Diceros bicornis minor: one gene and its partners. The protein of the gene in region 1 purifies or fractionates together with the protein of each later gene. This does not show direct contact. Links are inferred from orthologs where the notes say so. Each region holds a gene or a part of one and is shown in the gene's direction. Other genes may lie near its edges. The genes, in order: KAT2B, TAF9, YEATS2 and TADA2A.

Evidence for each region.
Region 2: the proteins of KAT2B (region 1) and TAF9 purify together in Homo sapiens (affinity purification with mass spectrometry; 3 studies listed by BioGRID and IntAct, with this or other methods). This does not show direct contact. The link is inferred for Diceros bicornis minor from reciprocal best matches to the Homo sapiens genes KAT2B and TAF9.
Region 3: the proteins of KAT2B (region 1) and YEATS2 purify together in Homo sapiens (affinity purification with mass spectrometry; 3 studies listed by BioGRID, with this or other methods). This does not show direct contact. The link is inferred for Diceros bicornis minor from reciprocal best matches to the Homo sapiens genes KAT2B and YEATS2.
Region 4: the proteins of KAT2B (region 1) and TADA2A purify together in Homo sapiens (affinity purification with mass spectrometry; 6 studies listed by BioGRID and IntAct, with this or other methods). This does not show direct contact. The link is inferred for Diceros bicornis minor from reciprocal best matches to the Homo sapiens genes KAT2B and TADA2A.

What each region holds. Positions count from the first base shown.
Region 1 is NC_080741.1:25,827,774-25,835,243, forward strand, and holds the start of KAT2B (histone acetyltransferase KAT2B), read left to right. Parts: upstream 1-4,456; 5' UTR 4,457-4,467; coding exon 4,468-4,761; intron 4,762-7,470. UniProt on the Homo sapiens protein: Functions as a histone acetyltransferase (HAT) to promote transcriptional activation. Has significant histone acetyltransferase activity with core histones (H3 and H4), and also with nucleosome core particles.
Region 2 is NC_080740.1:1,274,021-1,280,681, reverse strand, and holds TAF9 (transcription initiation factor TFIID subunit 9), read left to right. Parts: upstream 1-4,322; intron 4,323-5,128; 5' UTR 5,129-5,145; coding exon 5,146-5,937; 3' UTR 5,938-6,150; downstream 6,151-6,661. Other genes in the region: cell cycle checkpoint protein RAD17, read right to left, coding at 1,046-1,149, 2,378-2,393; AK6 (adenylate kinase isoenzyme 6), read left to right, coding at 2,834-2,861, 4,230-4,322. UniProt on the Homo sapiens protein: The TFIID basal transcription factor complex plays a major role in the initiation of RNA polymerase II (Pol II)-dependent transcription.
Region 3 is NC_080754.1:39,887,850-39,894,935, reverse strand, and holds the start of YEATS2 (YEATS domain-containing protein 2), read left to right. Parts: upstream 1-4,083; 5' UTR 4,084-4,214; intron 4,215-4,387; exon of another isoform or gene 4,388-4,457; intron 4,458-4,571; 5' UTR 4,572-4,673; exon of another isoform or gene 4,674-4,692; intron 4,693-4,884; exon of another isoform or gene 4,885-4,948; intron 4,949-7,086. UniProt on the Homo sapiens protein: Chromatin reader component of the ATAC complex, a complex with histone acetyltransferase activity on histones H3 and H4. YEATS2 specifically recognizes and binds histone H3 crotonylated at 'Lys-27' (H3K27cr).
Region 4 is NC_080757.1:25,286,683-25,294,686, reverse strand, and holds the start of TADA2A (transcriptional adapter 2-alpha), read left to right. Parts: upstream 1-4,986; 5' UTR 4,987-5,033; intron 5,034-7,369; exon of another isoform or gene 7,370-7,481; 5' UTR 7,482-7,582; coding exon 7,583-7,607; intron 7,608-8,004. Other genes in the region: ACACA (acetyl-CoA carboxylase 1), read right to left, coding at 2,389-2,420. UniProt on the Homo sapiens protein: Component of the ATAC complex, a complex with histone acetyltransferase activity on histones H3 and H4. Required for the function of some acidic activation domains, which activate transcription from a distant site. Binds double-stranded DNA.

The sequences.
Region 1 (7,470 bases):
GCCAATCACATTTAGGCCCATTCATATTAAATATGGGAAATTGTTATTTAAGAACAGCTAAAAATAAAAATGAATAAAATAGCAATAAGTGTATATGAGGCATGGTTAAGACTCACATCAGAAATGACGATTTAATCGGGTAAATGCTTGAAAACTAGAGATTTTATGTCTCCCCACCTTAGGATTCATTTTATAAATTTTTTTCAGTACTTTTTCTTTAGAAGTATAGATTTTGTTTTAGAGATCATTAAAATAAATGTCCAGTACTCACAGCCACTTTCTCCAGTGGGAAGTCGGCCCAAGGAGCTCCACACTGAGACGTCTACCTGACGTGTCTTTATTTTACACTCATGTCAAGCCGCTGTCTCTAAAAGCAGGTGGCTGTGCCAGGAAGGATGTTAGCCACTGGCCACACAGTGGGGCAAACCTGCTCTGATACTGCCTGGTCCAGACTTAGCCCTTGGTGTCTGAGCCCTCAGTGGGGACAATTTCAATCCACCTGTGGGGTTCAGGTGCATTACAGAAGCTGTGTGGGCTTGGAAGGAAGGAAGATGGCAAAAAGGTAGTAGACGTTGGAGTAACAATAGATGGTCACAAAACTTGCCTTTCTTAGGTGGGACGGCATCTTTGAGCAAGGGATACTAGATGAATAGGGGCCAGCCATGCCTTCTGGGGGAGGGTGTCAGGCAATACAGCACATGCAAAGCTCCTGAGGCAGGCAAGAGCTTCCCGAGTTTGGCTGGAGTGTACCTCACACCAGGGAGAAGGGCCAGGGGAGGTGAGCCTTGCCAAACAGGTTAGGGAATTGAGACTGTAATTTAAATGTTAGGAGAGGCCATTGGAGGGTTTCAAGGGGAATTGTGGGATCAGGTTTGCATTTACAGTTGTAAAACTCTGTACTGTGAAGAGGGGATTGTGGTACAGCAAGAGTAAAAGCAGAGAGACCAGAAGGAAGTTGTTGTTGGCACTCTGGCCGAGAGGTGACAGCCATGGAGACAGATATGAACAGATCGAAGATAAAGTTTACAGGTAGAAATGACTACTAGTATTTATTGAGAGCTTTTTTTGAGTGAGGAACTGGGAATACATAAATGAGAAAAATAAGTTTCATTCTCAAGGGTGCCCAGTGAAAAGAAACTACATTAATGAGTTTACTGTGTATCTTTCTAAATCTTCCTCTTGGTTTTGCACTTTTGTATGCACTCATTGAACATATACAGAATTGTGCTTATATGTCAATGTGAGTTTGTTTTTAACATAAATGGTATTATACTGTACAAGGTTCCTTCAACAGTATTTCTTGGAGATCTGTCTAGGCTATTACATTTGTATAAAAGTTATTCTTTGTAACAGCTGCGTAACACTCTATAGGATTAATATACCAGAAGCAACCTCCAGTGGTCAACCCGCCCCCTGCAACTCCTACTCTCCAAGCCCTTTATTTTCTAATTGTGGCTTCCTTACCTCAGTAAGTCATGCCAACCTAAATAAAGAGGTAAACTGAGGCAAGCTTGAACCACCAGAAATTGAGTTTATTTGGTAATAGCTGAGGAACTGCAATTCTGAAAACGCATGCTGTAGCAAGCTACAGGCGAGTCCATTAAAGGTTTTGGGTGGGCTGGATTTCTGGGCAAGGAGTGCAAAGAGAGGGAAGTCCAGCCAGCAGTAAGTTCATTGGCTTGAGGCTAGGGAGAGATTCTTGGCTGATGTTCATTGGTCAGGAGGTAAGTCTTATCTTCTGTAATTCAGGCATTTATGGGAAATCAGTCTCTCAGTTCTTAACTTCTGTTCTTCTGAGGGTGAGTCTCCATTTCATATCCTCCAGTTCCATTTTAGATGGAAATCCTTTCACAGTTGTAAATACTTTGTAAACTAAAACATTGCCTTTTATTTTCTTGGTACCCACTTTGTAAAAGGGCTCTGCACACAGGAGCTTACTAAATAAATATTCACAACAGCCTGACTATGAAGAGGCAACAAGCCTCCTGAATCCTTTGCCCTTGAAATGTCCCTGCCTGGTGCTCATAACGCTTTGAATAGGTCGTGAAAATGTGGGCCTTCCGCCTAAGGCAGTATGTCATCTGGGTGTTCAGAGCAGGAAAATAATGAAAAATAATGTTCAGTTGATGTCACAAGCCATTCACCATTCAGACAGTGATGGTTTTCAAGGTGGATTGAAATGAGGTTGTTTTCTTCTGCTTCAAAAGATCCTGGAAATAGCCTGCCTCCTGAATTCTGGGGACAGCTTGGGAGGGGGAGGTGATGGCTGAATTAATATTAAAGCTGGATTTCCCTCCTCAACATTTTATTATGGAAAATTTCAAACATACAGAAAAGTTGAAAGAACTGCACAGTGAACACTCCTATACCCACTACCTAGATTCAACTATTAACATTTTGCTCTACTTGCTTTATTATATATCTGTTCATCTGCCTATTGGCCCATTCACAGATGCATCAATCTATCTTATTTCTGCATCTCAAAGCAGGCTGCAGATATCAGGACTCTGCACCCCTACACTTTCAGCATGAGAACCATTAACTAGAATTAATATTTATCTTTTCTTTTTTTTTTTTACTATTTGAGGGAAATTTATATCCAGTGAAATGCTCAAATGCACATATTTGCTAACATCATGATGTTAGATTTTGAACAGGGCATCACAGCCTTTAAGAAGCCCATCCTGCTTCGGTGAGAACCGCAAAAAAAAAATCTGCAAAACACCTCAGAAGAGCCAGCAGGCAAGTAAGTGTCCTGATGGAGCCTGATGAGTCTGCCATTTCAGACCTTCACACCGCGCGGAAGTTGGAAGAGGCTATTGCCTTCTGTGCAGTCTAATGTCACTATTTAGATCTACAAACTTTTTTTATTTATCATTTTAACATATCACTCTGCATTAAAAGTCAAAAGAACATAGAGAATCTAGAAAAAGGATAGAACAAATTAACTGACAATAACGGGATGGGAAGGGGAATGTTTCCAGGGAAAGCACATTCCTTAAGGCGTCTCTGGTTGGAGCTGGGCGAGAGTTACACGGCATGCAAAGAATTTGATAATACGCACATTATGACCCATATTACATAAAAATTATGACTCATATTACAAAAGCAGGGCACTTGTGAAGGGTCCTGAAAAATAACGCTGGGCTTTTGCAAACTGCTTTAGAAAGGCCAACCAAGGGTGCACAACTTTCAAATGAAAAACTGAAATATGCACTCCACAATACTAAACACCACCCTCATTGTCATTAACAATGAAAACGACAGTTTTCAACAGTTTCAACAATAGATGAAAATGCTGAGTTGAGTTTTTTGTGTGTGTTTTTTTTAAGTTTGAGGCCAAAATCAACACTCATTCTTTTGGATGCTGCTTAAATTTTTTTCACGGTTAATATGCATGCTGGTGATATCAATTTTGAAAACTATGGAACATTATAGAAAAGAAAAAGGCAAGGTTAGAATCCCACCATGAAGAGATGAACCGTATTAACCAACTTTTTGTATTCAAACTTTTCCCACTGCGCATAGTTTTCATTCTGACAGCGCTTTCAGACAACCGTTCCTTTAACAGCCAGCACTTTCAAACAAAATTTACAGAAAATATTGATTCACAGTCTTTTCCTTCCGCTGGCAGATTAGATCCAGAAATTGCTATAGGAAGAAAAGCATTCTTAAAAAAAGTTGGACAGAAAAGCGTTTAAAAAAAAATAGGAAACATGACGCTTTTATTTTGGTGAATTAGCAACAAAGAAAAGGATTAGCATGGACGGGTACTTTTCAAAAATATTTTTTTTCCTCTGGCTCCCGCTAGGGTGGAGGAAGTTGTCTCTGTTCCGAGAGAGGGTGGAATAGAGGCGAAGAACAAATAACTGGGAGTCTCCCGCGCCCCACCGCCCCCGCCCCCGGGGGGGGGGCTCGGCAGGGCGGGGGTCGGCCGGGGGGGCTGCGGAGACGGAGGCGGCCAGCAGGTGCCTGGGCTCCGGCCCCCTACCCCCACCCTCATCCCCCCTCGCCCTCACCCCGAGCGTGGCCTCGCCCCCTGGCGGGCGAGCGCCGGGCGCCGAGGCGCGGGGGTGGGGGGCGCAGAGCCCGCGGGCCGCGGGCCAGAGGCCGGGGCGCCCCCGGTGCGCAGCCCCGAGGAACATGTCGGCGGCCAGGGCGCAGCGCGGAGCCCCGGGGAGCACTGGGGGAGGGCGTGTGCAGTGGCGGCGGCGGCCGCGGAGCCGCTAGTCCCCTCCCTCCTGGGGGAGCAGCTGCCGCCGCCGCCACCGCCGTCAGCGCGCGGGCCGCGGCCGGAGCGCGCGGCGAGCGGCGCGCGGGGCGGGCGGGGGCGGGGAGGGGGGTGGGCGCAGGGGGCGGGAGGGCGTGGGGGAGGGTCTCGCTCTCCCGGCGACCGGAGCCCGAGCGGGAGACCCTGGCGGCGGCGGCGCCTGACACTCGGCGCCTGCTGCCGCGCTCCGGGGCGGCATGTCCGAGGCTGGCGGGGCCGGGCCGGCCGGCGGCGGGGCGGGGGCCGGGCTCGGGGCGCTGCCCGCACAGCCCCCCGCGCCGCCGCCCGCGCCCCCGCAGGGCTCCCCGTGCGCCGCCGCCGCCGCCGGGGGCTCGGGCGCCTGCGGACCGGCGACGGCGGTGGCGGCGGCGGGCACGGCCGAAGGACCGGGAGGCGGCGGCTCGGCCCGGATCGCCGTGAAGAAGGCGCAACTGCGCTCCGCTCCGCGGGCCAAGAAACTGGAGAAACTCGGAGTGTACTCCGCCTGCAAGGTACGGGCTCGCCGCGCCGGACCGCCGCGGGGGGCTGGGGCCCGGCGGCGAGCCCCCTGCCCCCTCCCCCTCCCGCCCCCGCCTCCTGCCTCCCGCCCGGGGCCGCTGCACCGCGGAAGTGCTGCTGTCGCCCGCACCCAATTAGCTGCTTCTCGGACAAGAGTCCTGTTGGGTTGGAAGAAGGGGAATCACCAAGACCGAGAACCTTTCATTGCTCCCCTCGGAAGGAGTTGCCTCTGCGTCCGCGCTCCTGGGTTGCCCTGGGGCTTTGTTGCTCTGTAGGAGCCCGCCAGAGGCGCCTCCCAGGGAGCGGAGCAGTGCTCAGTGTGTGGCGAGCGCCCCGGGGCCAAGGAAACATCTTTTTGGGGATCTTCGCCCGTCCTCTCCCCGTGCCCCATTGGAAGGAGCTAGGTGGGAGGAGTGAGGGTGGAATAGGCTCCCGGACTCCCGGCGCTTTGGGAGATCGAAGGGGCGGAACGCGCAGGGTGGGAAGAGGGGCACAGCCCGACGCGAGGGTCCTGGAGCTCCGGGCGCTCTCGGCTGAGGGCAGAGGCGCTGCGGCGCGCGGTGACAGCCTCGTCATTATTGTATTATTACTTGTTTAGTTAAAAGGCTGTCCCAGCTGCTCCGGGTGTAAACAGGATTTGGCAAGATGACAGCCCAGCACGGCGGGCGCGACTGCTTAGTTTGAGGACGCACGTTTCTTGCCATCCCCTCTCCGTCCCAGCCCTCGGCACCCCGTAGCCCCTCAGCTGCAGATCCAGATGTGGGCGCCGTGCTCCCGGGGTGGGAGGATTGCCCGAGGCCGCGGGGCAGGCTGGCCCTGCGCTGTCAGCAGCGGCTTTGTTTTGACAGGGTGACAGCTGAGGGGGGCGGGGACTTGGCCTTGTCAGCTCCCGAGGCCTGTGGCTGAGGCGGGGAAGAGACACAGGCACACACCTCCCACGTATTCCTCCCGCCTACTGCAAACACGGTCAAGTTCCCGGGTTTCAGATTCACACAACTCAGCGGCAGTGGCCGCTTCTGAATTTTGGACTAGAGATTATTAATCCTGCTAGAACCCGGTTCCCGGTGATGCTGTTTTTAGTATTTACAGGAGCTTCTCAACCGCAAGGAATGTCTGTGCTTAACCCCTTTTTCAGCACCGTTCACATCCTCATGTGTATGTTGAATGCCCACTGTGTACCCCACACTGGTTCAATAAATATTTGTTGAATGAATGTAGGATCCAGCCCATTGCTTCTCAGACTTTAATGTGCGTAGGAGTCACTGGGGGATCTGGTGAAAATGCTGACCCTAAATCAGTAGGTCTGGGGTGGGGCTGAGATTCTGCATTTCTAACAAACTCTTGATGATGTGGCGCTGGTCCACTGACCCCACTGCAAGTAGCAAGACCCTAGTCCAGAACCAGACAATATATTAGTCCCTTTTAAATTCAGCAAAGAAAACTGAAACTGTGAGGCAATAATGCCACACGGCTGGTGTTTCTGAAGAAGACAAGCAAAAAAGATAAAGTGGAGAGTGTGCTTCTAAGAAAGGTGAAAAGCCAGGAGTTGGTTCTGAAGGGCGTTAGACTGGTGAGACAAGACTTTGAGTGTGGTAGGCAGAAGGGAGAACTGCTCAGAATCAAGACCAAGGTCAGTTACGTGGTGGGCTTGGCCTTGGGCAGCCAGAGTGGGCTCCTGGAGGAACTGTGTCAGCTCTGTGTGTGTCCCAGCTGTTAGTTGGGTTCCCATCGTGAGCACCTTCTCTCCCTGCTGCCTGCTGTTGAAAACTTCATAGCTGAAAACTTGCCTGAAGTTTTAGTCCTATCTAAACCCACGAGCCTATGTGCCCTACAATGATATTTTTGATCCTTTTATATTTCCATGAGTGAGATGTAGCACCTTTTCTAAAGTTTGGGACTTGAGGGTTTCATGTTCACATTCGCTACCAAGCTTGTAGGTAAACTTATAGGGAAAAATCTCTCTTAGTAAAGGCCTTGCTTCCTGCTCCTGGGAGACTCTGAGAGTGCCTATTTTTATTTGCTCATTCATTCAGCAAGTATTTAGAGGAGTCCCAACTAGGTGCCAGGCGTTGTGCTGGATGCTGGGGCTAAGACACCCAGAATCTGTCCATCTGGAGCTACCGACCATGCGTGTGTACATGTGCACACATGCGTGTATTGCAGGCCTGGGAAGGTGGGCAGTGAACCAATTCCAGTGACGTTCAAAAAAACTGCTTTGTTAGAGTGGCGTTAGAACTCAAAGCAGGGCAGTTCATGGGCTGCAGCACGGAGGGGTGGGGATGGCTTCCTGGAGGAAGTGTCAGTGGGTACTAAGGACTCTTGGCAGCGCAGGGCTGGGTGAGGTGAAGCTTCTTGTAGTGGGGAAACTGAAAGTTATGAAAGCTTGGAGCTGGGCCAGCAGGAGCGAGCGCTCCATTGGCTGGGCCACAAGGTTGGGGCGGTGTGTGTCCAAGAGGGCATTGGAGAATCCAGGAGTCTTAACCTGGGGAGTAACATTATCTCAGATTTCCTTTTTTTTTTTTTTTTTAACTGTGCTTGATTGGGGTGAGGGGGTATGAGAAAGCAGAATCTGTGGTTCTTTCTCAACTGGTCTCTACCCTTCGTATAAGAAAGACCAAAAGGACAGATTCTTCTACCTTCTGTCCCTAACCGGCCCTTGGCAAGTTGGAGAGAGTAGAGGTTAGGGAATGAGGAGGGACCTG
Region 2 (6,661 bases), on another chromosome or scaffold:
TATCTAGGAGTTTTAAAAAGGCTTCTTAAAAATTAGAATTTTTAAGATGTGTTTTCTTAACTTTACAACAGAATAAATCTAGAAAAATCTAGCTTAGTACCTGGCTTTTGAAATTCCCTGCCTGGCTAACAAGTGGGAACCAAGATTATATTTTCCTTGAAGAATACTCAGCCATAGCTGTGAGTCATTTATTAGATAATGCTCCTTTCTGGGAGAAAAAGAACCAGAAATTGGAGCTGAAAGAAGGCTCAGGAGAAGCAAGCTGGGGCTTATAAGTATTTTATGAATGCAAAGTCACACTTCATTCCTCTTTTAAGGAGAGGGTTAGGAATATTATCAGCAGTGGGTAAAAAAAATGAAAACCTTTGGGAGAAAATTTTAGGCATAGCCACCTAATTCATTTCCTCTCTCAAAAGACTGTCACTATGCTACAATTTTGGGCCCTTTCCTCTATTTTTAAGAGTACATAACAGTAAACCTTTTGATAACAAAAGGTCTGATCTGCATGTTACTTATACATTTTATAGTTTTCTTATATAAATGTGGACTCCCACTGACTAAAAAAAAAAAGAGAAACAGCAAAGTTAAATAATTTACTTAAGATCAGAGAAAAATTGGATCCACCACTAAGAAAATAGCTACCTTGCACATGAGTATGACACTGTCTCACCCACAACCCACTCCACCCCCAGCCTTGCTGAGAAACTGGCACACTGAACCACATGAGTTCTGAGAGGCAGAGCCTGTTATTAAGCTTTAATACCAACTACAACTGAATTTATATTTCTCTTTCTTCCACTGCTCTTTCATTCAAGAGCTTTTAGCCTTTTCTTTGTGACTGGGATCGTAAACGCTTTTTCAAAACTAACGTTGCGCTTTTACTGTACACTTGTTTCACAACTTCTTGTTAGATTTTTTTAGGTCAATAATCACAACAGATACTGGGCACCATTGCTGTGATAGCAGTAATAAGTCATTAAGAACATATACAAAAATTATAATTCTTTTTGGGCAATTATTACATGGCCATTTTAGTGTGTCATACCTTTGTGGAAGATACCTTTGGTCTAAGAAAAGTTTTTGACATTATAAACTTTGATAGTTCCCATCCGTAGTATACAACCTGTAGTACATTAAAGTATAACTCACCTAGGGAAAAAAAGAAAGGAAAAAAATCTTAAATTAAGAAAAACTGTAAAACAGCAGTACGGCAAATAATATACACTGATATAATCAACAGCATAATAAAGTTAAGGCTCAAGAACTAATGAAAGAGAACATAGCAAACACAGGCAAAGCAAGAAATCAAAATGCCAAAGTAAATTTTACTTTTAATGACTGTAACTGTGTCAATCTATTTGTGGTGTTATAAATGTAAAGTTTTTCATATGAACTCAATAACGTATTGGAGAAAACAGAAAAACCATATTATTTGTGTACCTCCCTTTTGTCATTAAGAAAAATTAGACAACTCTATTTGTGCAGTTTTTATACCGAAAATCAAAATTTCCTTCATTTCAAATTATTTGCAGTTTTTCATTTCCAAAATTTCAAAAAAACCCCACTATACAATGAATTCAGTCTTATCACTTACTTTAAGTCTTACTGTAGGTTTTTTCTACAACATATGTTTTTCTTATTTGAGCATTATTAGGAATTTTTTTGGTAATATTGTGTTTCCCGACTTTCATAATTCTTCAATGTTTAGACAAACTAGTGAATTCACCAATTTTAAGTTAGCCAGAAAGAAAGTTTTTTAAGGTCTACAAACTTATAAATTAGAAGGTGTACTAAACTTTTTTATAGTTTGGAGGCACACAGTTTACAATGTGTAAATACTTCCACACAGTAGAAAACAAGTCGCACACACACAAATCGTGCACGATTAGAGAGCTTTTGCTCTGGAGTTCCAAAGAGGTACAAAGGTGGAAAAAACACCTATTTGAGGAATACAGTTGGCAGGTCGAAATAAAAGACGCAGACCGTTCTTACGGTCAGGACTCCAGCCGCTCTTTGAAAACAAGACTGACAGTTCCCTCCTCCCAAAAGCAAATAACTGTCGCTGATGATGCCAGGTTCCTGAAATGAGACGTCAGAGGTAGGAGAGACCTCAAGAATACTTCTAGCAGACCCCCCCCCCCCACACACACACACTGCACAGGGCATATTAAGCTCAGACACTCATCCAACGTAAAGCTGCTAATCAGCGGAGCGCGGCGACGAGCCCGCGGGCCCGGCTCCAGGCCAGCGCTCTGCACCCCCACCCGTCTCACCCCCAAATGGGATGGGCAGGTCGGGGGGAGGAGCGACGAGAGCCCGAGAAGCGGACTCGCGCCTTTGGACACACAACACCACAGCCGCAGCCGGGCAGTCTTACTTGCCGGGAGCTGCATCCCCCCGCGGGCGCAGGGGAGCGGAAGAGCCCAGGCCCTGCTCCAGGCGGAGGGGCAGCCACAGGACCCTCCCCGGGATCAGCGCCGAGGCTCTCGGAGGACCCGCCTCCCGGGGACCTTCCAGACCGGTCGGCGCTTCCGCGACGCAGCCCAAAGGGCGGGGGCCGCCAACGGCGCGAGTGACTTAGGCGTTCAGCGCCCTGCCTGACCCACAGCGCGGACTCGACCTCTGTCCCTGCCTCGGACCCTGCGATGGAGGCATGTCAGAGAAGGCCACGGAACCAATGGTTGGCGACTAGGGGGCGGGGACAGGCGGCGACCGCCGCGCGGGACCTTGAGGACCCCTTGGTCACAGGCACTCGCCGCAGCGCGCCCTTCCGGCTCCTCCTGTCGTGCGCAGGCGCGTGGGCCGAGGCGCCTCGAGTCGCCTCGCGGGGACTATGTTGCTTCCCAACATCCTGCTCACGGGTCAGGGCGCGCGGCCGTAGGGGCGGAAGGGGGGCTTGGAGAGCGCGGGCCGCGGGCTCGGAGCCTCGGGCGGGCTCGGGGCCTTCGTGCGGCGGGGCCGTTGTCGGGCCTCGTGGCGGGCTCGCGGCGGGGGCGGGGGAGGGCCGGCGCGTCGGTCCGGTGGGCCGAGGCCGGCCGCGGAGCGGAGGCGGGTGGACAGTGCCTGTCCGCCGCGCAGAGAGCCGCGGGGCTCCGGATCCGCTCCTGTTCGTGAGCGGCTGCTGTTGCTTCGGCGGCGGGGCGGTCTGTGGGGCTTCAGCGAGAGAGCGCGGGCGGCGTCTGCCCCCGGCGGTGTGTGGGCGGAGGCCCGAGGCCTTCCCGGCCGTCTGTCTTCTCGGTGCTGCGAGTCGGGTGAGGGGAGAAGGGTTCGCACGTTCGTGGCGGAGGGTGATTAATTTGCTGTGTGCGTGTGTTGTTAGAGGCCGAAGCTGTTTTCCCTTTTCTTTCGAGAAGAAGGGGCGTCTCCTGAGCGCGTGTGGTCGCTTGCCGTGTAGAGATGCTGTGAAGCTCCCGGGCTGACCGCGGGGGCCCGTCGGGGTCTTTGGATCCGCGCTCAGGCGCCTGTTATACGTGAGGGGCACTAAAATGCCGCCTGACGACTTGAGAAAATGTCATTGCCGGTCGTTTGACTTGGGAAAAGTTTTTTACGTTGTAGGAGCTAATAGCGTCATAGGAAAAGCTGATGGGTTTTTCTAATCCATCTGATCCATCAAGGACAAATCGAATAGGTGTAGGTGCTATGGCAACACATAGGAAAATTGAGACGCTCTTTGTGGAAACAAAGCAATAAAGTTTTATAATTTAGCAAAACATGAGCTTGTCGGCAGTGCACAAGTCCCGTCTGTTTCTGAGAGCTGCAGATCAGCCTCTCAACAAATCGACGTTTAGCCTTTAAAATTTTTTAAGGGGAAGATTTTACAACATCTGAATTGTTTGGGCAGGCAGTGTCCTTGTTTTTTTGATATTAAGCCGTATTGTCAAAAGCAATTTTTCCATAAACAATTTCTTAATTTTTAAAAAAATTGAAATAAATGATAATTTATCTGAGATGGCTAGTCTTACTCTGGGAATTTCCATGGTGGTGGCAGGCAGTCTGAATTGGCATCAGAATCATCCAAGCCCCACTCGTCATAGACACACTGGGCGAGATTCTGACATTCAGCATGCTTTGGGTAGTTTTGATTAGGTCATAGTGTATATGAATTCACAGAGGATTGCTAATTAGGAAACTTTTCATTTCAGTTGTTAGGAACCTTAAGAAGGGCAGATGGGTGGCTACAGTCTGATAAGTATTTCATAAACAGTATTTCTCTGTCGCTTGTCTTTCAGGTACTCCAGGGGTTGGAAAAACCACGCTAGGCAAAGAACTTGCCTCAAGATCGGGCCTGAAATACATTAATGTGGGTGATTTAGCTCGAGAAGGTAAGGGACACTCGTTAGATTTGTTTAAAAAAAAATAGAGTGGAGTATTAGTACTATACTTGTGAGAGGGGACAAAAAGCAGAGAAAGATTGCTGTGAAGGAATTTATGCTCTGTTGGGGACCCATAGACATAGAAAATGTTAAGTGTCTAAATGCTGTGTCCTAGTTATTTTGACCATTACATTGCTACCCGCCCCGCCCCCTCTCCCCCACAGTTGGCTAGCAGTTCTTGTGGACAGTAATGATTGGGAAGGCTCCCGTGAAGAGACTGGACTTAGGATAGATACATAGAACCTGAGCGTGAGGAAGAGGAAGAATGTTTTAAGATGGGTGAACGCAAAGATTTGGGTGGTGCTCAGCATATCTGTGGAGACAGTGAGGATACTGGTCTCACTGGAAGGACTGGTTATTTTGAACTCAGGCACTAGGACACGAATGTCCTGTGACGTTTTCTTAGATTAGTTTGATAGTTGCATGCCTGCACACAACTGCACGTATTCTGAAGTGAGACTTGTTTTTACTTATTTTATCCCGTTTTACTCTGGTGTTTTGTCACTCCCTTATGTGTGTCTTCATATTTTTATAGTCTATAATGATTTTTACAGGGTAGAAACTTAGTAAATTTAAGTGAAGGGAACTTTATGTACCTCATTGAAATTAACAAGACTTAATATACATATAAAAAATTTAAATGCATTTTTAAAAATTTAACATATATTTAAAATTTTTAAGTTCCTGACAGTTGCTACTAAAGTAATAATTTCAGATTTGATCTAATGTACATATTTCTTTCAAATGATCTGAAGTCTGATCACCGGATAGCATGGAGTCTGGCAAGATGGCTTCTCCCAAGAGCATGCCGAAAGATGCACAGATGATGGCACAAATCCTGAAGGATATGGGCATTACAGAGTATGAGCCAAGAGTTATAAATCAGATGTTGGAGTTTGCCTTCCGCTATGTGACCACAATTCTAGATGATGCGAAAATTTATTCAAGCCACGCTAAGAAAGCTACTGTTGATGCTGATGATGTGCGATTGGCAATCCAGTGTCGTGCTGACCAGTCTTTTACCTCTCCTCCTCCAAGAGATTTTTTGTTAGATATTGCAAGGCAAAGAAATCAAACCCCTTTGCCATTGATCAAGCCATATTCAGGGCCTAGGTTGCCACCTGATAGATATTGCTTGACTGCTCCAAACTATAGACTTAAGTCTTTACAAAAAAAGGCATCTACTTCTGCGGGGAGAATAACAGTTCCGAGGTTAAGTGTTGGTTCAGTTACTAGCAGACCAAGTACTCCCACACTTGGCACACCAACCCCGCAAACCATGTCTGTTTCAACCAAGGTAGGGACTCCAGTGTCCCTCACAGGGCAGAGGTTTACAGTGCAGATGCCCACCTCACAGTCCCCAGCTGTAAAAGCATCCATTCCTGCAACATCAGCAGTTCAGAATGTTCTGATTAATCCATCATTAATTGGGTCCAAAAACATTCTTATTACTACTAATATGGTGTCATCACAAAATACTGCCAATGAAGCATCAAATGCATCGAAAAGAAAGCGTGAAGATGATGATGACGATGACGATGATGATGACTATGATAATTTGTAATGTAGCCTTGACGCTTGTAATGTGTATACTTGCTCTTGAATCCATTGTACTGAGATTAAGCATGCATGCTGATGTGTTAGAAAACTTCAGTACTATTTAATGAGTAAATATAGTTACCGTACTTTTCAATTGAGATGTTGGATTCTTTTTAATAGGACTAGTAATGGTTTTTCATCAGCCGTTAAGTGTAAAAAATAAAGTTGTCATTCATCAGTTTGATTGTTGGTACTTTGACAATTATATGTTTAGAAGCACTTTTCCCCTCATTATTAGAACAGGAGTAACAGTTGCAGTGACTTGAGGTTGTTCCCGTCTATTCATTACCACTAATGTCACCAGCTGTGTAGGTCATAGTGCAGTCTGGTGTGTGAGGCACTCTACTGGTCCATTCTCTCAGACTGCACCAGTTTACGTCTTAACCATGTCTCCTTTTGGGTCGGCCACTTGGTCAGGATTTCTATTCAGAGTGAATCCTCATCTGTTTGGGTTTATCTTCCTCAATTGCCCACCTGCTTCCCAGGTCCAAGTTTTCTATCCCTTTGGTTATATTTAAGGACCCTTGGTGTTCCTCCCAGGATCTCCCCACTTTAAAAAATTTTTAAATGTTTTCCAGTATCCCTTTTTGCAGGTCAGTTTTGTGCATCTTTGTTGTCATATTCTTGATACTATATAAGTCAGTAGCATGCTCATGTTTTTAATTTGGCTCTGGCATTTAAATTATAGT
Region 3 (7,086 bases), on another chromosome or scaffold:
CTCATAGAAGTTAGATGTCTCGATTTAATATTTTTAATTTTCTACTTGGTAGAGGCATGGGTATAGAGAAATCGTTCTCTAATACGAGAAAACAGCAGTGTGAGTAAAACCATAAATGGCAACTGATGCTCAGAGTAGGATGGAGGAGTCAGGAAGACAACAGGGGGTAGTGGGACCTACTTCAGCCCTCCTGAAGGCACTAGGGCTCCTCTAAATGGGATTGCAGCTTTCCAGATGCATCCGTGGTGCAGCAGCTGAGCTCTCAGACTCAGTGCAGGACTGCTTGAGTCTGCAATCCAGCTCCACTTCTCAGCTGTCCAACACGTTATTCAACCTTTCTGTGCTTCAGTTTTCTCTCCCTTAAAGTATGAATAATAATAATAAAGTTGTTACTTAGATTAAATTTGTGAAGTGCTTGGAACACTGCCTGGTACATAGTGTTAGCTAATAACTAATTATAGGAATGTAGGTCCAGGTTACCACAGCTTCTGATTTTTCAGAGAAGGAGAAATCCAGGTTAGTATGTGAAATTTCTCAATATTTGGAGTGTTGGCTTGTTTAAAGCAGTGTGACATTGTAGGCTGTGACTGTGCAACCCCTCTGAACTGTACTATCTTCCACTGCAATCTCACCAGCTCTCACCAACTACCTGTTGACAACAGTATTGGCGGCAACTGACGGCACCACCCATCAGTTCTCCTCTGAGTCTCGGAACCACATGTACAGATGCCTGTTGAGTCTCTTCAGGTGGATGCCTCAAACTTAAAATGTCCCCAGGGGAATTCTTGATTCACCTACCCCGCAACATACAAAATCTGTTCTTCCTTCAGTCTCCCTCCTCTCGGTAAATGGCACCACCACCCACCATTTGCCAAAGCCAGGAACCTGGGAGTGACCCTCAGTTCTTCTCCTTCCTCATCTTCTCCTTCCAGGCCCACCTCCAGTGGTTGTGCGGGTGATTGCTGCTTGACTAGGCCTTGCCAGGGAGGGGCCTGAAATCCAACCACCAGCTGTGCCCCAGCACAGGGCACTGTCCCCTTAAAGGCTGGGGCAGCTTTTTCTCACATGCCATTAGACCTAGCAGGGGCCAGTCCCCTTCCCCTTCCTCGTCCGTCCCCTCCCAGTTCATTACCAAGTCTCTCAGTATTTTCTCCACAATTCTTGAATCTTTCCACTTCCCTCCATCTCCACTGTCTAGTGTAAGCTACCCTCATTTTTCACCTGGGCCACTCAAATTGCTTTCCAACTGTCTGGCTGCTGCTTTGTTCACACACCCTTCCAGGCATTCCCCACCCATTTGCTGGGTAAGTGGTCTTTTTTAAAGGGCAAATTGAATACCTTACTCCTCCGCTTAAAAACCTTTGATGACTTCCTGTTGTTTTCACACGGTAAAGATCAAAATCTTAACCCACCGCCCTGCGTGATCTTCCTCCTGCCTCACTCTCAGCCCCACCCTAACCACTCTGCTCTTGCTTCAGTGACCCTGGGTTTCTCTCACTTTGTCTCAGACTTAATCGTGCCCCAGCAGCTCCTACTGCCTTCAGGTTCCACTTACTATTTTTTCGGGGAGGCCTTTTCTCCCTCCACATTAGATCTGGTCCCGCTATGCTGTGCTTTCTCAGCACCCTGTCCATTTCCTTCCTAGATCTTATCTGTTATTGAAATGTACACACTGCATGCATACGTACAAACATCTGTAGCTATGTTATTTCTCTTTAAATGTTGCAAACTTTTTCATGGACTCTCATTCCTATTGGGGAATGGGCTAAACTTAAACCTGCCAATGAAAGTTATCTGGTCTTTTTTTTTTTTTTTAATTTTTTTTTTTATTTATTTTTCCTCCAAAGCCCCAGTAGATAGTTGTATGTCATAGTTGCACATCCTTCTAGTTGCTGTATGTGGGACGCGGCCTCAGCATGGCCGGAGAAGCGGTGCGTCAGTGCGCACCCGGGATCTGAACCCGGGCCGCCAGTAGCGGAGGGCGTGCACTTAACCGCTAAGCCACGGGGCCAGCCCGAAAGTTATCTGGTCTTAATAGTCTCATTTTGAGTAAACATTCAATCAATTCAAGGTTGCAGTCCTGTCAGAACTTTCCCCTTCCTCCTCTTGAGTTCCCAAGATGGCCTGTGGGATGCAACGGAAGCTTTGAGGTGGTGGCCAGAAGGGTCTCAGATCTGTGTGCAGAGCTGTAGCCTGGGTCCTCACTGGCCTGTGCTTCCTGGTCACTCCTGGTCACCTCAGCCCTGCTGGCATCAGCTGCTGAGGTTGTTGGCTGGCAAGCTCATGATCTGTTGCTTCAGCACCTTGAGAGTCTGACGTCTCACCTTCCCACTCCCCAATCCTCTATCCCTGCTCCTCTCCCCAGCTGACTTGGGAGCATTTCAGTTCTTGCTGGGGTCTTTGGCTCTGCCCATCCTTGAGGTCTGAGCCACATTCTCCAGCCATTCCCTGCCAATCAGTCCATCATTGCCTCTGTTTAGGATTACCAGGCCTCTGGCACAGTGCTCACTGCCCCGTCCATGGCTCTCAACCATTCTACTTTCTGCTTGCCTGGCAGGGAGCATACAGAGAAGTCTGAGATTCTGGCACGCCATCTGCAAGTTGTGGACACCCAGCAGCATCATCTCAGACCCCCTCCCTCCCCAATGCCACTGTCTGTTCCTGAGCCCTGCTCAATGTGAGACTTCTTGCCAGAATCCGGCAGCCTTCCAAGCTGGGCCATGGGAAGTGGGCTTCTCCCTCCCCCTCCACTTAGCTGGGTACTTCTATGCCTCTGCCTCAGGGTTAGACCCCAAAAGTAGGGGAACACTGACACACTCATGATAACCTCTTACCCTACCTCTTTCTCCATGAAATTTATTTTTATCTCCCCAATTCCTGTTCTCTCTTTGGGTCTTAGCTTAAGCTCAGGGAGGCCTTTCCGATAAAATTGACTGCAAATTTCACAAAGGCAGGAACTGTTTTGTTCATTTCTGATCCTCAGTGCCTAACACAGAGCTTGGCACACAGTGCCAGAACACAGAATAGAAATGCAATAAAAATTAGATTAATAAATATTGTTAATCTATCTTTACCTCTAATAGACCTTAAGGTCAGGAGACCAAGCGTGACATATTATAAATCCCTCTATTTCTTTCCCATGAAGGGCTCTGGAGTCAGTTCCTGGCCCTATTAGCCATTCATTCAACAAATATTTTCAGAGTGCATACTATGTGAAATGTACTAGGCTTGCTATTGGAGATAAAGAAGTAAATCTTTTAAAACATTTTTATTAAACATTAAATACATCCAAAAATTGGTAACATATATGTAAAGTACAAAAAATTACGAAGTGAATCCCCTCTAAACCTACGACCCAGTTCCAGTGGTAAACCTTTACATAGTGAGGAGAAGAGATTGAAGGCGGACAGAAACAGATCACTGGAGACCAGTTGGGAGGCTACGGCGGTCTTGGACAGAGAGGTGACCAGGGTCTGGGGTAGGGTGGTACAGGGAGAAGAAAAGCGAAGAGTGAGCTCAAGAGATATTTAGGACGAAAACTGGACTTGGTGGATTGTCACTCACTAGCTGTGCGACCTAGATAAGTCTCAATCTTTCCGAGCCTCAGTTTCTGCATCTGTAGAACAGGTTAGAAATAGCTATTGTTATTTGTATTCCTAGCACCTAGCACAAAACTTGCTACGAGATGACACACACAAAAATCATAGCCACTGTTGTTATTACTGGCGAAGCTTCATAAAGGCCGGCAGAATGAATATTCTCTGAAACTTCGGACTGGACCTCGCCATCTTCTTCTAAAGAGGAAACTGATAAATGACGCTGCCTTTCCCAGCACCGACGCCCGTACTCCCCAGGCAGCGCAGCAGCGCCGGCCAGGGTCAGAGTCTGGGCCCGGGCCAACCGCCAACCCCCGCGCGGGCCCAGGCCCCAGCACCAGCCTGTGCCCCGGCCCCGCCCACATCCCTGCGAGCTCCGCCCCGGGGCCGCGCGCGCGCGCCGCCGCCGCCGCGCGCACCCCGCCCCGCCCCTGCTGCTGACGTGCGCGGCGAACGGGCCGAGCGGTCTCCGCCGAGCCGTGTGCTTCCGCGGGCTCCGGGGTCGCTGGGGCCTCGTGGCGGGGCGGCTCTGCGGGGCTTCGTCCGCTCTCTCTCCTCGCCCGGGCCCTTTCGCGGCCCCCGGCGGGGCCTGTGCTTCAGCCGGAGACCGGGAAAAGGGTGAGTGTTGGCGGGAGCGGGATCGGACCGGCCGGGCGCGCGCGCCGCTCTCCGGAGCATTGTCTGGGCGGGGGCGGCGCGGGCACGTGCGCGCCCCTCCCCCACCCGCCGGCGCGCGGGCCCCCTGCCGAGGGGAGGGAGGGAGCGGGTGACTGCGGAGAGGAGAGGATCGGGCGCTGGGGGCTGGATCCACGGTGACTGTGTCTGTCAGGCAAGTCTCCGAAGCTGGAACCCGGAATTTGGGTGTGTGTGAGGGTCCTTTCCTAAGGGGCGCAGCGCTCTCTGAGGGGATGGGGTCCCTTGAGCCCCAGTGCCCGGAGCTTTTAGGATGTTAAGCTTGGTGCCCTGTGCCACCAGTTGGAGACGAGATTTGGCCCCAGCACTGGCAAGTTGTGAATTTACCGACAAGAATCCTGGAATCTCCGTCTCCATCCCTGCCGTCCCTCACCCCGGTGAAGGGTGAGTAGGCTGTAGAAAGGTAGGAGGATCTTCCAGGGATGGTGTCCGAGTTAAAGGTGTGAGATAGTGCGGGGTTGGGGTGGAAAGCTTGGGAAAGTGAGTTCTTGGAAGAAAGGCTGGTTTGGTGGGTTGTGGCAAGATTGCAGGAGACAATGAGGTTTATATCATAACCTTTTTTTTCTATTGTGAATGTGATTATGTTAAAAACTAGAACGTAGAAGACGAAAATATCACCAGTAATCCTACAGCCCTGACACATCATTCTTGGAGTTTTGGTATGTTTGCTGATATTTTCCTCTAAGCTTATAACAGTTACAATGAGTTTACCTACAGTTTTGTACTCTCTTTTCTCATTAACGTGTTTTCTCATATTTCTCATATTTCATAACATGTAATATTATATAGTATTCAGCAATATCATTTCCTCCTTAATAAGCAAGTAGCAAGTATTCATCATAGAAAAATGTAAAAATACAGTACTGGTAGTTTTATTGCCTAGAGATATTATCATTGAGTGTATGTTTTTGGTTGTGTACAGTCTTTGAAAGATAGGAGCAGATGATGTCCTGATTAGGAATTTAGATTTTATGGGAATATTTTGAAGGTTTTAAGAATGCAAGTAGAATAATTTTGACTGCTCTGTGGGGGAAGAGGGCAAGAATGGAAGCTGGGAGATTAGTTAGGATGCTGTTTGCAATACCTGGCATAGGTCCATGGCAGTGGAGATGGAGAAGACTAGAAAGATTTTAAAATATTTTGGAGGTAGAATGAGCAAGACTTGGAAGTGGATTGGTGAGGGAAAGGGAGAACTCTGCTTTTGATATTTGTTTTAAGCAACTCTGAGTAGATGGCATGTAGTGAGCAAGTGGAGGATGGAAGAGAGAAATTTGAGGTGGGAAAAAGAATGAGTTCTGTTTTAAATTTGAAGTGCATATTAGTTATGAAGTAGATATGGTGAGGAGGCAATTGGATGTACAGGTTTGGAACTCACGGAAGAGAGAGCCTAGAGCTGGAGATAAAAATTTGAAATACTCAGTATATAGATGATAATCAAAGGTATGGGACTGTATGAGATCACTTAGGAAAAGAGTATAGATGGAGAAGTGAAAAATCAGGGCTCAGACACTCCCGTACTTTGAGGTGTGGTAGAGGAAGAAGATTGAGCACAGGACAGAAGAAACAGCCAGTGGGGTAGGAGAAAAAGCAGCAGACTGGTGTCATGGAAGCCAAGAGAGATAGTCTAAGTTTCTGGAAGATGGAGAATTGGTTCTTTAGTGCTTCTGAGATGTTTAGTGAGATGCTCAGTTGGATTTGGCAGTGTGGAGGTTATTGGTTTTGGTCGTTGGTATTACTGTTCAGAGTTCTAGAAGTGGGAGGTGGAAACCAGATTGGAATAATTGAATGGAACATAAGGAAGTGAAGACAATGAGTGTAAATTAGAAAAAAGTACCCCTTCTTCAAGACACCTTATTTCCATCTGCCCTCAAACTAAATTTTTTTTTTTTTTTTGTGAGGAAGATCAGCCTTAAGGTAACATCCGTGCTAATCCTCCTCTTTTTGCTGAGGAGGACCAGCTCTGAGCTAACATCTATTGCCAATCCTCCTCCTTTTTTTTTCCCCCAAAGCCCCAGTAGATAGTTGTATGTCATAGTTGCACATCCTTCTAGTTGCTGTATGTGGGACGGGGCCTCAGCATGGCGGAGAAGCGGTGTGTCGGTGCATGCCCGGATCCCAACCCGGTCAGCCAGTAGCGGAGTGGGCGCACTTAACCACTAAGCCACACGGCCGGCCCAACCCTCAAACTAAATTTGATAGATGAAAAATAGTGTCTTGTTTAATTTTTCATTCCTTGATTACTAGTATGTTTGAACATTTTTCACATTTATTGGCCATTTTTGAATTTCTTTTCGTGTCCTCTGTGCATCTTTTTAATTGTATTTGTCATTTTCTAATTGATTGTCAAGAGTTCTCTATCATTAAAAATATATAGCTTGACATAAAACTTGCAGAATTTCCCACCCGTGTACAGTCATATGTCACTTAACAATGGGGATATGTTCTGAGAAATGTGTCATAAGGCGATTTCATCTCTCTGCAAACATCATAGGGTATACTTACCAAAACCTTGATGGTATAGCCTACTATACACCTAGGCTCTATGGTACTAATTTTATGGGACCATGTTCGTATGTGCGGTTCATCATTGGCCAAAACCTCGTTATGCAGCGCATGAGTGTATTTTTACCCCCTGGAAATAAATGCATTTATTACATAGGCTCCATCAGGAAGGACATGGTTAATAATGGAAAAACCATACTTATCATTTAACTCCTGTCTACTTTTTTTTTCACTTGTAGCAAAATACACATAACATGAAATTTACCACCTTAACCATTTTTTTGGGGGGGAGGAA
Region 4 (8,004 bases), on another chromosome or scaffold:
CATCACATCCTTACAAAACTCTTATGAATTAGATATTATTATTTTAATTTTACATATGAAGAGAAAAGAGGCACAGAAAAGTGATAACTTGCCTAAATTCTTGAAGGTAGTAATGAGTGGAGACAGAATTCAAATTCAAGAAAACTTCAAAGTCCATGCTTTTTCAATTACATTAAACTGTGCCAGCTTCCTTAAAAATCATATTTCAAACATTTATTAGGCACTTGTTGGTTGCAAAAGAGTACAGACTGCCTGTCATCAAATGATGTAATGTATTTTAGGAGCCTGTTTTGAGACTCAAAAGGTGGAGGCCCTGTATATCAGGCTGACAAGTATGCAGCTGGGCTGCCTAGCAGGCATTTAAAATTTTTCTGACAAACACAAGTCACTCAGCAACAATAACATTCCTAGTTCACCTAATTTTTTGGATTCTACCCAAAGACTGGTGACTCATTAGATAGATATCTTGCATTTTGTGTAGATCAAAAAGAAGTCAGTGAGGTGAGGAAGGGGCAGAAGAGATGGGTAGCAGAGGCCTGGAGTCATGAAAACTCTGTTTAATGGCCATGGCATTATGAAAATCCTGACACCTGCTAACTCTTCAGTTTTAAATAGTCAGTGGCAGTTTACTAGTTACATTTGGACAGATCTTGGTTTAATTATGGCTGTGCTACTTAGTAACTGAATGACTTGGGGCAAGTGGTTTTACCTCTCTGAGCCTCGTTTTTCCTCATCTGTAAAGTGGGATGCAGTAGGGCCCTTTAGCAGAAATTGTTTTTCCCTTCTGTTCACCTTTGAGATCTTTAGGGCCTTCTTACATAGAAGCACCCTAGACAGGCCACCGTGTGGAGAAATGGCTATATGTAGACCTTACATTTCTTCAAGTAGATTAGCAGAAGTGCTTCAACTCTTCCTCTGCAGACTGGTCATAGGTGGGGTGGATTAAATTAAATAAGCAGTCTAAGAACATTCGGAAGGAAAAGGATTGATTCTCTAACTTCTTTGACTAGGGTGGCCACAAAGGGAGAAAGATGGGGTGGGGTACAGTAAGCGGGGAAGGAAGGAGGAGGGCAATGCTCCTGAATGCAAGAGGCATTAGCAGAGGCTGAGGAAACGAACCAATCCTCAGCTGGCTGTGGGGGAGCCAGGGCTTCTGTGAAAGTGCCTTAGTGTGTGAACTCAAAGAGCTGAGAGCTAAGAGCTCAAACCCTTGAGGCTCAGGCCTTTTGGGGAGTGAAGCCGTCTCTACTGAGTGGGTCACAGGAAAACTCCTTGCCTTGAAAAGCCCCTGTAAATGGCAAAGGGCCCTGCTCCAGGACCTAAATCTCTGGCTAATTTACATTGACTGGGTATATCTCAGAATTTAAAGGGAAGGAAGCTGAAACCTAGAAGGCATAGCTGGACTTTCAGACTTTCTGTTTTTATCTATTTGTACACCAAACTACAAAGTGCCACCTCAGTTAACAGGAAAAATAAATATTAGATGAGATAAAGTTTATAAAGTCTTTCAGCATTCAAGACATGGTAAGTAACTAGAAATGGCAGAGAATCATTTCAATAGGGAGGAGGCTCAGAAACCGCACTTCTGATTCTAACCACAGCAGCTTAGTAGTTGAAGAGGAACTGTTGGGATATTTTGGACTCAGTCAACGGCAGCCACGTTACAGAGCCTGACAGTAGGATACAGTTTTCCTTGTTGGGTTTTCAGTTCAAAAGTCAACCTTCTCAGTTAGTTAAGAATGGAAGGGCTTGGAGGATGCGCCATTAGTCTGTCCTGAAAGTCAGTCTTCAAAAATATTTGTCCAACCTGGACTGATCTTGGATATTATTAATGTAAATTTCTGTCTTAAAGAGGACAAAAGGTGTTTTTTCAGGTTCCTTCACAGACATGGTTAGTGAGGGGAGCAACAAGGCACTCAGTCATCTCTGTTATGACAGGTTAAACACAGGGTGCACCGGAAGCATGTAATAGGGCTACTTAACCCAGACTTGGGAGGGTCAGGAGCAATGTTCCCGAGGAAGTGATGTCTAAGCTGAAGGGGAGGTACAGTGGCAAAGGAAGCTTGGAAATAACAGAGTGTATAAGTGGAAACAGAGATACTTCCGTCTGGCTGGAGAATGAAGTGTAAGACAGGGCAGTGATGATGAAGAAACAGGGAGATGCTAGACCCTGAAGGGCCTTCTACAAAGAGCGACCATGCAACTTATTGTACAAACTGAGACACTTCTGAGAGTGAAATAAGACAATATTACTAATTATATGGAGACAACAGGAGTAAAACAGAACTGTCCTGAGCAAACTGGGACTTATGGTCACCTGACTTGTAAGTCACGTTCAGGTGCTTAAACCTCCAGTGAAAGCATAGATCGGATATCTTCTCTTTTTACCTTATACATTTTGCCTGAGTGACTTCATCCATACCTTTGCCTTTACTTGTTCGTTTCACAAATATTCGTCCAGGATGAACTTCTGGGCACTGAGGTTACAAAGAAGAAAAGACAGTGTCTGTCCTCAAGCTTTGTCTAAAGAAGACACACATCCAAAGAAACAATTCTAATACAGTTATACAACTTTAGCCCTGGCCTCTCCTCTGAGCTCTCAACTCCCATATGCCATTTCCACTTGGGCTGCAAAACACAGATCCAAAACAGAACTTTTAATTTCTCCTCCAAAACTGTTCTTCCTTCAGCTGGTCCTTCACTTTCCCTTTAACTGGTCTTATAATTAATGCCACTATCTACTACATTGTTAAGGTGAAAACCCAGAAAAGCACTGGGTTATCCTTCTTCTCACTCCACATTTTAATTTCCCACATCTTTCTTAAGCACAATGACTAAATTGGGGCCTAGAATTCTGAGGGCCTAACATCAATTGAAGAGGAAGGGTAATTTCCAGGTGCTTAAAGGCTACATTTTTAATGAATAGATTCCAGTATTATGTGAGGTTGTTTTTTCCACAATAGTACAACACTGATGACTCATATTCAGTTTGCTGACAATCGTGACGTCCAGATCTGGATATATGCCCTAGTCAGGCTTGAAAATTTTCAGTTTAGATGAGAAAGACATGAAGATATCCTAAGTGTTTGACCCTATTTCTTCTTTGTGGAGGTGAGAGTGGTTGTAAAGATGTACGTGAAACACCAATGTTAATAAACAATCTGTTGAACTGCTGTGTAAAAGGACAATTTATGCTTTAAAGGGCAATTTTAATGTTTCTACCATTTATTCTCTACACAGCTGCCAGAATGATCCTTTTAAAACAAATCTGATTACGCCTTTCCTCTCCACCCTTCCATGGTAGTCTATCACATCCCAATAAAATCCAAAGTCCACCCATGGCTTACCAGACGATACATGATCTGGCTTCTGCCTGTTTCCCAACTTATTTCTCTAATTTGCTGTGCTCTAGCCACACTGGTCTCCTTGCTACTTCTCCAACATGTCAAGCAAGTCTCTATCCCAGGGCCATTGCAATTGCTGTTTCTCTTCTAGAATAGTTTTCCTCTAGAAATCCACGTAGCTGCCTCTCTCATTTAATGATTAGATTTCTGCTTATGTGCCATTAAGGGGCCTTCCTTGTCCACTCCATCTAAAAGAGCACCCCACATCACTCTTACCCCTTTATCCTGATTTATTTTTTTCCATAAAACCTGCCAGATTACTGGGCATTATCTCTTATTTAGTAATATATTATGTGTATTGCTTTATTGTCAATCTCCCCCACTGTTATATGAGGCAGAGACTTTGTTTTGTTTACTGCTGAATTCCCAGCACCTAGAACAATGTCTGCTCATTAAATATTTGTTGAATGAATGAATAAACAGATTTTCAGGATATATCAAATGTAAAACTACTCCGTATTTATTGACATGATGCATAGGAAAATTTCTGGAAGAGTGTATACCAAAATGTTAACTGTTTATTTAACATGGTGGGAGCTGGTTTTCACATTATTTTTGCTCATGTGAATTTTCTGATTTTTTCTTTAGAATGAACTTGTATTACTCATATACTAAAAAATGAATAAAGAGGCCACACAGGCAGAATGTGTAAATGAATTCTAAAAGACATTGGGCAAATTTATGCAAGACAGAATTCTAAACAGATGTAACAGCATAATGGTTAAGATAAACCACAGTTTGAATCACCTTCCTCAACACTTTCTGGCAGTATGATCCCAAATTATTTAAAAGCCAGAGTCTAAATATCTTCACTTGGAAAATGGGGATAATAATAGTGTCTACCTCATAAGGTTGTTTTTGAAGATTAAATGAGACCATGTATACAACCTCCTTTGAACAATGCCAGGCATGCAATAAATACTCGACAAATGGTAGCTATTATAATAATTAGTAGTAGTAATAAGAGATGTTGGGACATACCTAGCCCTCAAGATTGACATCAGAGTGGCCCACCACATCCTCTCATCATTGCGCCTCAATCTGGGCCTCTGAAGCCCAAAGAGGGGATGGTTCTTTCCAAAGGAGGTAATTGCGACGTTCCAGGAGCATCTGAATAAAACGTACCCTGTTTACCCTTAAACCATTCAGTCAGTCTGGTTAATCCATGGGCAGCACTGCAAGACCTGGACTGGAGAGGCGGCCACTGCTCGCCGTCCTTGGGCCCAGTCCCTCAGCCTCAATTTCCTTTGCTGCAACAGGGGTGGGGGGTGGGAATGTTAAAAACACAAAAGCAGGACAGTACCGGCCCGCTCCACCTCACCGCCCTCTGGAGGGGATCAAACGGCACCACGCACCGGCAAACGTCTGGCGACCGGCAACGCGCCTCACGGGAAAACTGATAACTGGTCGGACTCAAGGGTTAGGCCAGCTGCTCAGCCCCATCCTCCCAGGCCTCTGCGGGAGGACAGCGACGGGCACGCGGCGAGGGCCCGGACAGGGGCTGAGGGGGCGGCGGCAGGCGCGCGGCACGCGGCGCGCTCGCGCCTGCGCCGCTCGGGAGCGAGCACGCAGCCCCAGGGGCGCGCGCGGCTGGCGGCTCCACGGCGCGGAGGAGGGGGACGCGGCGAGGTGAGGCACGAGGCACTGTAGGGCGGGCGGTGGCGGGTGCGAGCCCCTTTAGGGGGACGAGGGGGAGGCGGGGACCGCGAGGTGCGGCGCGGGAGGGGCGCTGCGGGTTCCGGTGGCCGGAGAGACGCGGGGGGTGTGGAGGCGGCAGGCGCCAGCCACGCCGGCTGTGGGGGAGGGCGGTGCGGGACTCCGCATGACCTCTTGGGCCCCGCCCCGCGGCGAGCCTGTCGCGTCCCGCCCTCTGGGCGGCCCCGCAGGAGCCCAGCCTCGGTATTCCTGTCTGTGCAATGGGGCGCGTAGCTGCGCTGGTAACTGCCACGGTGTGTCCTGCCCCTGACCCATGTTTCCCATTGAGTTTTCAAGTAGGCCTTCCAAAGTAAATATTTCAGCTCCGTTTCAGAGCTGAGGCTGTCTGAGGCTCAGGTAAAATGGCTTGGCCGAGAATATACAGCTAATAAGGAACGCAGTGAGGATTTGAACCTTGTCTGCAAAACTCCAAAGCCTACACCTGTCCTTTGCACCACACTGAGTGCTGTTCTTCACAGTACCTTCCTTCCTCCTCCCACTAACTTCTTTGAATGTGGCAAATGTTAATTTGGAGCTAGCACCCGTTCTTTCATGGATGTTAGTGTCAGAAATGGCTCAGGAGAAGAAATGAGAGGAAAACAGAAGGTTCTGCTCGTTGCAATATTGTGCTTATGACATGGAGTGTTTACCAGACTGTGTCTACATCCTTTACTTGAAATTTCTATTAACCTGTTGAAACAGCACTGCTGTTCCCTACCTGTAAGACGTTGTGCAAGTATCATTCTTTCAGAGCATCCTTTCCTTCTTTGAAAAAGCAGCATGCCTCAGAAGGTTGTGAGGATTCAAAGAGAGAATCCACATAGAGTGGTACCACAGTATGTGGCATGTGAGAAAAGTTCAATAAATGTTGGCCATTATTTTATTATACTGAGCGCATAATACCCCGTGCTAAACTCATTTTTCTTCAAAGACTAACTTTTCCTGGGACTAGAGCAGAGGGAGAACCATCCCACTCCAGCCTACCCCCAAAAAAGACCAGTTCATTGACAGCCATGTTATTTGAGTGTTGCGTACGCTTAGTGATGAATTATTCCCCAAGCTAAAAATATCAGATGAAAGAAGTCACTCCAGGAGAACTAAAGATGAATTAAACTTTTATAGGACTAACATTTGCCCATCACATTTGTGTTTATTGAGTTCTTCCTCTGTGCTTGGTACTTTAAGGCATACAAATTTGTACTGGATGTAGTCCCTGCTTTCATTTAGTCTAAAAATGGGGGAAATTCAGAATTTCAGCATTCAGAAATAATCCTCAGAAAGTAGAATGTGAAAAATGCCAGAAAAGAGATAGATGAAAAGCTATGGGAGTTTAGAAGAAGGAAGGATGTTTTCTTGGCTTAGTGTGAAATATGATTTCATTTCTGCCTTCAAGAAGATCTTTGTAGGGGCCGGCCCGGTGGCGCAAGCGGTTAAGTGTGCGTGCTCTGCTGCAGCGGCCCGGGGTTTGCGGGCCGGATCCCGGGCACGCACCAACGCACCGCTTGTTGAGCCATGCTGCGGTGGCGTCCCATATAAAGTAGAGGAAGATGGGCGTGAATGTTAGTCCAGGGCCAGTCTTCCTCAGCAAAAAAAGAGGAGGATTGGCAGATGTTAGCTCAGGGCTGATCTTCCTCACAAAACAACAAAAAAAAGATCATTGTACATTGTACATACCTATTAAATTTTGTTCAGAGAGTAAATTAGTGAACAAGTGTATGTCATAACAGATAGAATTCCTTGGTTTCTAGTAACAGAAACTCATTCATGTTGAAGTATTATTGGAAAGAGAAATGAGGGGAAAAAACTAAACAGTTGAGCCACCCTTGGAGATGAGGATCTGAACAGCCAGAACTCATGGACCAAATTCTTTGACTAGTGAATGACTGAGCTTCAACTGCCTTCTGTCCTTATATGTCTTACTCAGGATTCAGATTTCTGTAAGAAGAGATCTGGTTGCTTTAGCTGCTCTGGGGGCAGGGGATGGAGTATTATGATTGGCAACCCCGCCAGAACCATATGAAATGTGGGAAAGTCAGTTTCTCAAAGGAAAGAGGGCTAAGCGGAGAAGTGATGCTGGGCAGAGAATACCAATAGTTGTTTATTGGAGGTACGTAGCCTTTATAGAGGGCTTACTATGGGCCAGGCACTATGGTATATTATTTATGTGGATTTTGATATTTAATTGTCACAACAACTCCAGGAGGTAGATGCTATTATATCATACCCATTTTACAGAGGAGGAAACGGGCTTTATCTATAGAATGATTTGCTTAGCATTATAAAGCTAGGATGTGGTAGAATTGAGTATGTTGCCTTATCTTCTCTTTATCTTGTCCCTTTGAATTATTTCCTGATCCATGTGCCACTTTTGTTTGTTCATAGGGGTCATCAAGCTTTGGTGTATGTGTTGGCCATTTCTGAAATTTCCTTGAAGGAGCGCTGCATTGAGGAAGATCAAAGCAGCAGTTTTTGCCAATTAGGGCATGGACCGTTTGGGTTCCTTTAGCAGTAAGTACTGTGGGAACAAGTCCCAGGTGAATATTAATAGCAAACTGAAATGGAAGCTGATCAGAGAAGAAAAATAAGCACTTTGAAGTTCAAGCTCTGTGAATCTGATCCTAAAGGATTAAAAGTATCAAATCAAAATAAAATCAACCGATACTTATTGATTGCCCGCTGAACACATGACACAAACATATCACCCTAGGTCTTATAAGAAAACTAAGCTCAGATGGACCAGGCATAGTATGATTAACCTGCAGTTAGACTTAAAAAAACAGTTGGATTTCTCATTAGAACCAATAACATATTTCAGATGCCTTGATAGGAAAGAGTCAGTGGTAGAATAAAGGAAGTGCCACCCTGCCTTTTTAGATGGAACTTGGGTTCTAAGAGTAAACCACAG